Cricetulus griseus: one gene and its partners. The protein of the gene in region 1 purifies or fractionates together with the protein of each later gene. This does not show direct contact. Links are inferred from orthologs where the notes say so. Each region holds a gene or a part of one and is shown in the gene's direction. Other genes may lie near its edges.

The links.
Region 2: the proteins of Prkcq (region 1) and Chuk purify together in Homo sapiens (affinity purification with western blotting, with the first as the bait; 3 studies listed by BioGRID). This does not show direct contact. The link is inferred for Cricetulus griseus from reciprocal best matches to the Homo sapiens genes PRKCQ and CHUK.
Region 3: the proteins of Prkcq (region 1) and Ikbkb purify together in Homo sapiens (affinity purification with western blotting; 4 studies listed by BioGRID). This does not show direct contact. The link is inferred for Cricetulus griseus from reciprocal best matches to the Homo sapiens genes PRKCQ and IKBKB.

The regions. Positions count from the first base shown.
Region 1 is NC_048596.1:228,004,159-228,008,287, forward strand, and holds the start of Prkcq (protein kinase C theta type), read left to right. Parts: upstream 1-1,313; coding exon 1,314-1,431; intron 1,432-4,129. UniProt on the Homo sapiens protein: Calcium-independent, phospholipid- and diacylglycerol (DAG)-dependent serine/threonine-protein kinase that mediates non-redundant functions in T-cell receptor (TCR) signaling, including T-cells activation, proliferation, differentiation and survival, by mediating activation of multiple transcription factors such as NF-kappa-B, JUN, NFATC1 and NFATC2.
Region 2 is NC_048596.1:17,451,637-17,455,289, forward strand, and holds part of Chuk (inhibitor of nuclear factor kappa-B kinase subunit alpha), read left to right. Parts: intron 1-761; coding exon 762-831; intron 832-2,985; coding exon 2,986-3,074; intron 3,075-3,653.
Region 3 is NW_023276807.1:61,017,961-61,021,613, forward strand, and holds part of Ikbkb (inhibitor of nuclear factor kappa-B kinase subunit beta), read left to right. Parts: intron 1-971; coding exon 972-1,079; intron 1,080-3,653.

The DNA.
Region 1 (4,129 bases):
AGGAATTCAAATCACCAGCACCTACCCAAAAGCTAGACAAATGTTGGCAGTTGCCTGTAATCCCAACACTCAAGAGTCAGAGATAGAGAGCCTGAGACAAGCTGGCCAACTAGAGTTATAGGAATTCATGAGCTCTGGGTTGAGCCAGCGACCCTCTCTCAACAAAAAAGTGTAGAGCAGTCAAGATAGACACTCCATTTCAACTCCAGGCCTACACACACACACACACACACACACACACACACACACAGGTACACACAAGTACATGTACCCACATACATATAAACATGTATATACACATACATGCCCATCCCTCACACACATGTATACATGCAAGAAAATAACTATAGAGGAAAAGGTGTTTGGTTGAAGTAAACAGCTGAGCAAGCAGAGATGGAGCTGCAAATGAAGATTCAGGCTTAGGGTGCTCGTGAGATGGCTCAGTGGGAAAGAGCATATGCTGCTCTTGTGGAGGGAGGACCAGAGGTGAGTTCCCAGCACTCACACTGAATGACTCCAGCTCTGGCTTCTGGCTTCCTTGGCTATGTGCATGTATTCACACATAGTCACAGACACACTGACACATGCGCAAATAAAAATAATAAATCTCTCAAAATTAAAAAGAAAGAGTAACGCCAACTGTTGAAACATGTAGCCAGAACTGTGATAATTTCCATTTAAAGCTCTGAGGAAACATAATAAGACCTCTGGCTTTGATGAGGTACTTTGACTTTAGGATGAGACATAATCGTACAGGGGTCAATGGTTTGGAGGTTCTTAAAGTGGCTTATAACATTTAAGTAGCTTAATTGCTTGTGTCTGTTTGAGCATGTGTTTGTCTCTGACAAGAGCAAACCATATTGAAAATATCCAAAATAAATAGGGATCAGCTGCTAACTGCTGAAAGCCAATTCCATGACACACATAAATAGACTACGTTAAGAATGTTGTGGTGTCATATTAACTGGTGTGACTAAAATAGACCGGTTACTGTGTTTGGGGCATCTACTTGAAGTAACAAAAAGTTGGAAAATGTTTGCCTTGCTGTGCAGGATTAACCCTTAGTTCTCACTGTGGAGGTTAGCCACAGACTTTCCAAAGAGCTCTTTCTCTGCAAGCCAGTTCAGGGGGGATCCAGCAATATGCTTCTCAGAGAAGGAAATAAACACTTTTGTTCAGATGGATAGCAGGCCCATTGGAAGTGCTGGCTGTCCAAGATAAAACACTAAGTGGAGATGGAACGCTAAAAATAATGCATCTTAGGGCTCCTTAAATACAGCATTTGTCTTTTGTCATATTTCTAGGGAACAACCATGTCACCATTTCTTCGAATTGGTTTATCCAATTTTGACTGTGGTACCTGCCAGTCTTGTCAGGGCGAGGCCGTGAACCCCTACTGCGCTGTGCTTGTCAAAGAGTATGTGGAATCAGGTAAGTTAATTGGGATCAGGGTTGGGGAGAATGAGGAGGGAGAGGTGGCTAGGCTAGACAATCATGTGGGAGACAAGACCCTCCATGACCTTGCAGGACAATTGACAGAACTGAATTTCACATTTTAGGACACTAGTACCCAACAAAGACCAAATACTTTCTTAAGAACCCAGGTTTAGTTACGGTTCTGACCAGATCTATTTCACTGTGCCATTTTTTTCACATAAACAAAGATAAGGAGAATATTAAGTTGGGGGAATTAGATCAGGGGGCTAAAGGAGAAGGAATCTAGGAGGTTGAGTATATTAAGTATTATTTGTACTAATAACTCAACTGTTTTCAATGACTACAGGTAAAGCTTGTCTAATCCTAGATCTTGGGATCAACTCCAAAGACTGCTTGTTGTATCATTGCCTCAGCTGAGAGAGGAAGGAAGGAATCTGCTATCATTCTCCATGAATAAAAGAATATTTCTATTATTAACTCTGACTATATATACCCAATTCATGATGAGGAGAAAATTTGGCTCCTGTACCCAAGACTGTTTTTGTTGGTTTAGATAGCTCTGCCAAAACAATCCCATTGGGTAAGGAATCTCTTGGTGATTATGCCCTCTAGCTCCCTCTTGATCCATACCTCTTAATTCCAATATTTTTAAGTCTCTTCCAAAGGAAAGATATGAAGCTATTTATTCCAAGACCTTCCCAGGCTCGCTACCTTGCTCTATATTCCTATATACAGACGGGTAACTATAAAGAATGTGTCTCAGTTCATTTACTCACACACACACACACACACACACACACACACACACACACACACACACACACACACTCTTATGGAGAGCCACTATGAGGACCCTGGGGCTTGAGCAGACAGAAAAACACACTAAAGTATTTACAAAGTCTCCCTTCAGGCTTTCTAGTCTTGCAGAGGAAGACAGGTGATAAGCAAAGCTACAGTGTGATGACTAGCAGTGACGGCTAAAGAGATAAAAAGTATGGCAAGAGGAGAAAGGAGCCAGGGAAGTGAACATTATTCTCAAAGGAGTTCCCCTAAAAGAGTCTCTGTCAGAGACTGGGAGAATTGGTGGATACAAGAGGAAACTGAGGCACACACGGAGAGCCTCTAGCTAGGTGCTGGAAATTCTGAATTCTGCAGTTCCAAATTTTTATCATGCTGTGTTCCCCCACCCCCATCTCTCTTCATGCTCATTTCATCTCTCTAGCTGCTCCGACTGCATCAAAGCCTGGGAGACTGTCTGGATGCCCTTGGTTTCTCTTCTACCCAGAGTTCTCTACTGTCTTAAAAGTGAAAATGCCTCTTGCTTCCACCTAAACCCTTTCAAATGTCACAGACATCTTTGAAGTGTAAAATGGCTGGGTTTTTTCAAAGCTGCTTTTGACTTAATGTGTCTTGTGGATCTGGTCCTGTTTCCAGCTTCAGGTCTCACTGACATTTGCCTCCTGCCAATCTTCCTCTCTTTCTTCCTCTTTCTTTCTTTCTTCCTTCCTTACTTACTTACTTTCTTTTTCTTTTTTCTCCTTCCTCTTCTTTTGGCCTTGCTTTTGAACTTGATCTCATTAGCCACATGGATCAAGACACCCTGTCAGAAAACGAACAAAACTTTTTCCAACAGATTGGCCAATGGACTTCGGATATTTGTTTTGTTTTCTTTTGTTTTTCAGGTTATGTTCTGAAAAGAAGTCACTCTAGATATTACCTAACTAAAAGATTCCTTCTCCAGAATTTAAGCAGGTTTCCATATTTAGGGTATGAGTTTGCATTTTTCATGATAAGATGGAGGAATGGGAGCAAACCAGAAACAGTGCTGTCACCTTGGGACCCTTTGAAAACAGCAGCCCTCACTGTTCACACACAGACAGGCATGCTGGTTAGTTTTAACTGTCAACTTGACACAGTCTAGAGTCACCCAGGAAGAGCATCTTAATGAGAAGTTACCTAGATTATCTTGACCTGTGGGCAGTCTTTGTGGAATTATCTTGACTGTTAATTGATGTAGGAATATCTAGTCCATTTGGGTGGCACCATTCCCTAGGCAGGTGAGTGTAAGAGAGGAGAAAATTAGTCAAAAGCAGGTAATCAAGCCAGTAGGCTTGCAAGAATGTAATTCTCCCTGCTTTCAATTGTGGTTGTGCTATGACTAGCTGCTGCTTGAGTTCCTGGCTTGACATCCTCCTTGGTGATAGACTGTGAGCTGGGATTTCAACCCAAGTAAACTCTTTCTCGCCCAAGACGCTTCTTGTCAGGGTATTTTATCACAGCAACAGAAATGGAACTAGAACAACAGGATTCTTAGTTCTGGTCTGCTTTTTAGGTAATTCTTAACCTAGTGGCTGACTCCTGGATGCTTGCCCCTTGCTGAGCTTGGAAAATGGTTGTAGTGAAAGGGAATAATTTAATAGGGAAGCTTAAAGACTATGATAAATAAGATCATCATTCATTTTCAAAGAACTCAATCTATCATTTGTTTTTTAACCGAACCATAAAAATCTCTTCCTCCCTTCATAGGAGCTCATGAGTGCCCAACCCCAAATTAGGGAGCTAGTGACAGTTGGTGGCTTCTGAGGGAGAGTAAGTCAGTTTTCCTTAAAGGTTGACTCCTGGTAGGTTGACCAGGGTCCAGTGGATGTCTGCATACCAATGTATATGGAGAATACAACAAATTGGACTTGCT
Region 2 (3,653 bases), about 210 Mb from region 1:
GAAGCCAGCCTGGTTTACAGAGCTAGTTCCAAGACAGCCAAGGCTACACAAAGAAACCTGGCCTCCAAAAAAAAAAAAAAACAAGCAAGCAAGCAAACAAACAAATAGAAAAGAAAGGTGGGGGGTGGGGAGAAAACAAAAGAGTTGTCTTTATTATAATTATTCTTTCTATTTAGTTTTAAATGTATTTGTCAGCTATTTTTCAATTTCAAGTGCAGTTGCCCTTGTCTTTACTTTTTATGAGCCTTCTTGTGAAATTTACTCAGCCTCAATATGTATTTGATGACTATTTTTTTTCTTATGTCTCTTGTGATTGTTACATTTTTTAAAAGATTTTATTATTTATTATGTATACAACATTCTGCTTCCATGTATATCTGCACACCAGAAGAGGGCACCAGATCTCATAACGGATGGTTGTGAGCCTCCATGTGGTTGCTGGGAATTGAACTCAGGACCTCTGGAAGAGCAGTCAGTGCTCTTAACCTCTGAGCCATCTCTCCATCCCATTGTTACAGTTTTTGAAACAGACTCTTACAGTGTAGCTCATGTTGGCCTTGAGCTCATGGTCCTTCTGCCTCATCTTCCCAAGTGCTGGCCTTGTAGACATGTCCCAATCCTTATAATTTCTTTATTGTGACTTATTTTTTTTTATTTGAATATTCTTAGACAGTTTAGTGATTAATGTGTGTTGCTATTGCTACCCATCAATAGTATAAAATTATAGACTTATCTATTTATTTGTTTTCATTTTTCTTTAGCTACTCAACAAACCAGAAAATTGTTGTGGACTTAAAGAAAGCCAGATACTTTCTTTACTGTGTGACATAGGTATGTAACTAATATTAAAATATCATTGTGATTTAATTAATGCCTCTTTGGTCCACAAAAACTTCTGTGTACTTCTTAGAAGTTACAGAGAACTGTGTGTATACTCTACAAAGCATGTAGGTTTTTAACATTTATAAAAAATGAGGAAAAACAAAATCTCTGGGCAGTGGTGGCACACAACTTTAATCCCAGTAACTCAGGAGGTAGAGGCAGGTGGATGTCTGTGAGTTCAAGGCCAACCTGGTCTACAGAATGAGGTCCAGGGCAGCTAGAGGTGTACAGAGAAACCCTGTCTCAAAAAACCAACCAAAAAAAAAAAAAAAGAAAGAAAAGAAAGAAGAAAAAAGAAAGAAAGAAAAAGAAAAGAAAAACCCATTTCTAATATTAATTAAAACTAATAGACTTTTGGCATTTGTTTCTATTTGGGGTTTCTCTTTGTTGTTTGTTTTTTGGTTATGTATCCTTGTCCGATAGATGTTCCAATGATAACAAAAATGATATGAAATAGCAATCATTTCATCCCCTCTCACAACTCCCCCAACACTCTCATAGTAGTTTTGTTTATAATGGAATCATATCTTTTGGTGGATAGGTCCTCAAGTTGTCCTGGGATGAAAGTCTCTTTTTAATCAGAAATCCTACTGGTAAACCCTAAAGTAACTATGATTTAAACCTTTGAGAGACCTGAGTCTCCTTGTGTCAGCGGTTGCTGCTCTTCCTAGGTCACAGGCAGCAGAGTCTAAAAATGTGATTTAGGTTGGAGGAAAAGTCTATAGGCTTACAGGTATTTCTTAAAATTTAATTGTTTCATTTGCTTTTAATGTTGATTTGACTAAATTAAATGAGTATACAATTTTTCAGTGTTTATTTGATGATACATTTGGTGAGGAAAATATGAACTGCTCTAATGTTGGTGATGCAGCAGTGATGGATCATTTCAGTGTGTGGGGGTGTGTGTTGTTAAATGTATAGTACATGGGTGTGAACATTGGCCACACTCACAGGAGCATGCATGTGGAGGCCAGAGCAGCATGTCATGTTCTGTTTCTCTGCACTTGATTGTTTTCAGACAGGGTCTCTGACTGAACCGGAAGCTCCACATTTGGGCTAGGCTGGCCTCAGCCAGCTCCTGAGATCTGCCTCTCTCCTCTCAACTCCTCTAGGGTTATTGTTGCACACAGCCTTGCTTGGCTTTTTATGTGGGTGGTGGGGATTTGACTCGGGTCCTCCTGCGTTCAGCGCACTGACCTTTACCCACTGAGCCGTCTCCAAGCCTATGGACATAGAAATTTGTGCATCATTGTAATCTTTGTAAAGTGAGGTGAAAACTGAATGTGGCTGGACATGGTGGCACCCACCTTTAATTCTAACACTAGGGAGGGGAGGCAGATGGATCTCTGTGAGTTTAAGACTAGCAGGCCAATCAGGGCTACATAGTGAGACCCTGTCTAAAAAATGATGAGTGTTGGGGAATCCACTAGAGTCCCTTTAAAGGGGTATAAAGGATTTCTTAGGATACACTTAGGCAAAGAGCCGAAGTGGTCCTCTCTTCTGCCCTGGGGTGAATGGAACCAGCAGTCTGATCTCTGACTACCACATGAGATAAAGCAAGCAACAACCCCCTTCCTTTTAAGAGGTCACGTGGACAGACAACATGCACAGCCTCTATCTAGCCAGACAGCCCAAGGTCATGGGCGGAGCCAATACTCACTACAGCTGAGTGTGCTGGTGCACACCTGCAGTCCCAGCACTTGGGAGCCAATACTCACTACAGCTGAGTGTGCTGGAACACACCTGCAGTCCCAGCACCTTGGAGCCAATACTCACTACAGCTGAGTGTGCTGGTGCACACCTGCAATCCCAGCACTTGGGAGCCAATAATCACTACAGCTGAGTGTGCTGGTACACACCTGCAGTCCCAGCACCTTGGAGCCAATACTCACTACAGCTGAGTGTGCTGGTGCACACCTGCAGTCCCAGCACTTGGGAGGTAGAACGAGCAGATTAGAAATTGGAGGTCATTCTCAGCTGTATAGGGAATTCCACACCAGACAGGGCTATATGAGACACTGTCTCAAAAACACTAACAGTAAAAACAAAGTGTGATCTGATTTTCCAAATGGTATTTCATAATACATTTGAAATTTTATTTAGGATCTGGAATTCGATATTTGCATGAAAACAAAATCATACATCGAGATCTGAAACCTGAAAATATAGTTCTTCATGATGTTGGTGGGAAGGTAGGTGAAGCCTGAAGACTGTTTCATGCTTGTTGTTCTAGTCTTCCTGATATATTGTCTTTAGAGATTTTAGTGTCCTTATTTATTCTATAGACATAGTACTTTATAGGTTTTCTATGTAGCCCTCACTGTATGGAATTGTGGGGCCTTTTTAATTTTAGATTTATTACTATTGTTATTGTTGTTATATTTTATATATGTGTGTACCACATGTGGTGTTTTTGGGGGGCACAAGAAGAGAACATCAAATTCCCTGGGACTAGAATTACAAATCGTTGTGAGCCACAGTGTGGGAGTTTAGAGTTGAACTCAGGTCTTCTTCAAGAACAACAGGTGCCCTTAACTGCTTAACCCACTCTCCAGGCCTGAACTGTAGTTTATGGTTAGATTTTTGTCTTCTCTGCAGAACAATGGCTCCTTAGAGAAGCATCTGTCTTGCTCATCTCTGGATTAGGAATGTTGATCTAATTGTATAGGAAACTGCCAGAGATTAACTAACGTGATCAAGATTATACAGTTAGCTAAGCCCATTACCTGACATCTATAATCCCAGCAATGGCAGGAGGGTTGCTGTAATTT
Region 3 (3,653 bases), on another chromosome or scaffold:
GCTTGGATTCAATTTTTCCCTTTCCAGCACTCCCTCAAATACCTTTGGAAAGTCCCTCCATTGGGAAATATGAAGATCATTTATTCTAGAAAAAATGCTTAGCCACATACTTGTAAAGGGAAGTGTGGGCCTCCCTTACCTTACTTGGTAGCTAATTGGTAGAGGCACATGTCACCAAGCTTGACAACCTGAGTTCTGTCTCTGGAGCCCCAGCCGTAGGAGGAGAGAACCAGTTCCCTTAAGTTGTCCTCTGATGCCCCAGGCATGCATGCCACAGAGAGGAGGGTGTGCATACATGTACATGAGCACACACATATGTGTGCAAATAAATAGATGTAATTTTAAAAATGTAGCCATGTACATGTGTGTATATTTTACATTTCAAATAAATGTGATGTGTACAAAGTGACACTAGTTCAGAACCCTGGTTTTATCCTTTACCAAAACATGAGAGATGGCTCAGAGGTTAAGAGCACTGGCTGCTCTTCCAGAGGACCTGGGTTTGATTCTCAGTACCCACATCAGGCAGCTCACAGAAGTCACATGTCTGTCCACACACACGTGTAGTTGAAAATAAGTCTTTTAAAATGAGGTTAAAGAAGGGTAGATGCAATAATCTACCCTTCTTTATGAGGGTAAAGATGAGGTAAAGAAGGGTAAAAGCAATAATCAAGGTGAGACAGAGGTCAACAGTGCTGCCTGTAGAACTGGGACACGAGCTGATGAGTGGCCTTGCTGGAGGTGTCCTTTCACCTCTGTTTAGGCAGCACCAGACACATACTGTGTTTTATTTCATGCTAAGGGGACTCACTGCCGCTGAGCTAAACCCCTAACCACACAGACCATTCACAAACCTGTCGGCATACTCACCGTTATTTCAACAAGTATGCAGTTGTAAAGTGAGGTTACAGATGTAAACTGGGTATTTGCCACTGAGTGACATAAAGGACATCTTAAAATGGCATTTACAGGCATTCCAAAGTCCGGCAGAAGAGTGAAGTGGACATTGTTGTCAGTGAAGATTTGAATGGAACAGTGAAGTTTTCCAGCTCTTTACCCTTCCCCAATAATCTTAACAGGTATGGCCACCGGGCATTCGTGTCCTGTTTATTTTTCTTCTCTTTAGAAATACAGGTTTGAGGTGACATCTGATACATTTGTTTGTTTTAGTTGTATATGCTTGAGAGACTGGTACCTGTGGAAGCCAGAAGAGGGATCAGATCCCCTGAAACTGGAGTTGTAGACAGTTGTGAGCTGCCATGTGTGGATCATGGGAACCAAACCTAGGTCCTAGGCAAGAGCAGCCAGTGCTGTTAACCACCGAGCTATCTTCAGACCCTTTGATAACGTTTGAATGGATAACAGAATACCATCCTATGATTGAGCACTTGACCAATCCAGATCAACTTCAGACATAGAATGGATTCTTGTATCTGGTCTCCCTAGAATCTTTTTGTTGTTAATTGGTTGGTTGGTTTTTGCTATGGAGATGAAATCCATGTCTTCATTTATGCAGTGCAAGTGCTCTACCAGTGAGCTTCATTCCCAAACCATCTCTTTGCTAAATTCACATAGCAATTTACTTGTATATCTTATTGTTTTCAAGGGAAGCTAAGACAAGAACTCAAAGCAGGAACCCAGAGTAGAAACTGAAACAGAACCATGGAGGATACTGCTTATTCCCTTGTTCCCTCTGGCTTACTCAGCCTGCACTCTCTCTCTCTCTCTCTCTCTCTCTCTCTCTCTCTCTCTCTCTCTCTCTCTCTCTCCTCCCCTCCCTTCAGGGTTTATAGCCCTAGCTGTCTGTCTCTGTCTGTCTCTGTCTCTGTCTCTCTCTCTCTGTCTCTCTCTCTGTCTCTCTCTCTCTGTCTCTCTCTCTCTCTGTCTCTCTCTCTCTCCTCCCCTCCCTTCAGGTGTATAGCCCTAGCTGTCCTGGAACTCACTTTGTAGACCAGACTGTCCTTAAACTCAAAGATCTTCTTGCCTCTGCCTCCTGAGTGCTGGAATTAAAGGTGTGTACCGCCACCCCCAACTCAACCTGCTTTCTTATACAGCCCAGGTCCCCCTGTTTAGGGAATGGCACTGCCCACAGTAGGCTAGCCCCCATAACCCCCACTGTATCAATTAACAAGTAAGAAAATGGCTCATAGATATGGCTACCAGCCAACCTTTTCAAGGCAGTTCATTTAAGGTTCCCTTTTCCCGGGTGACCCTGGGTTTGACATTGGCAGCTGAAACTATGACAGATATCTACTTTGAAGTATATCCACTTCAGCATAGAGTTTGTCTTATTCCACAGGAAGTCATTTAAGGGTAGGGATTATACCTTATTCCTCTTTGTGTTCCTTGTCTGGCCTAAACAAACAAACCTTTAAGGTTTGAATGGCACTGTGGTCTAGGCTTAGAGCTAGAATATAAGCACTTAATTAGTGAATCAGAATTGGGTCATAATATAAAAGAAAACTCCAGGTTGGTGACTTTACTCACATATTTGGGGACAGGGGAGGGAGCCCTATGGATTACAGCAGTGTGGAGTAACATTGGCTGTGCTATAGTTGCAGGGAGGAGGGATGGGAAGAGTTAGAGAAGACATGGACAGATGAAGGAGAGCTGGTTCAACAGGGAGGATTATAGAGGCACACGGGGTTGCCCCTAAGGGGGCAGTGTGGAAGCAGCATGGAGCCTAAGTGGGCAGGGTGGAGCACAGGAGCCTAGTGTGGGACAGCAGGAGGATTTTGAACATTGGCATGTACATATCCATTAGATGCTCTTAAATCAGCAAGCAGCTCAGGGTCCAGACCAGGGCTACTTAAAACTTCTGCTTGGAGCCCAGCATGATAAAGCACACCTTTAATCCCAGCACTGGGGAGGGAGAGGCAGAGGCAAGAGGATCTCTGTGAGCTCAAGGCCAGCCTAGTCTCCATAGTGAGTATCCAGGACAGTCAGCATCCAGGACTACATAGTGAGACCCTGTCTCAAAAACAAAAAACAAAAAACAAAAACAAAAACAAAATCTTGCATTTGGGATAACTTTGTGCCCAAGAAATGTTCATATTACCCCAGATATGTAAATATAGACTATATAAAGTATATATAAATATATAAAAGTATATGAAGTATATATAAACAAAGTATATAAATAAAACATCTACTGATAATAAATTATAAAGAAATTTATTCATTTTTAAATTTTTTGGTGTATATAGTTTTACCATTAAAGACAAGTATTAGATCTTATTAAAGACAGATATTAAATACATAGATATTAAATTTATATATTAATATGATTAATGAAATATGTATGCTTCTATTTTTACATGAAAAGTTAAATCTTTTTTTTTTTTTTTTTTTTTGTTTTTCGAGACAGGGTTTCTCTGTGTAGCTTTGGAGCCTATCCTGGCACTCACTCTGGAGACCAGACTGGCCTCAAACTCACAGAGATCCGCCTGCCTCTGCCTCCCGAGTGCTGGGATTAAAGGCGTGCGCCACCAACACCTGGCTGAGTTAAATCTTGGCTAAATATTTTTTCATATTTCTGTGTGTTTACACATACGTGTAAACACAGAGACATACTACTGATCATGGATCCACAGAGCCAGGCAAGGATGTTACCACTGATCTACAACCCAGCTCTAGAATGCATTATCAAAGCT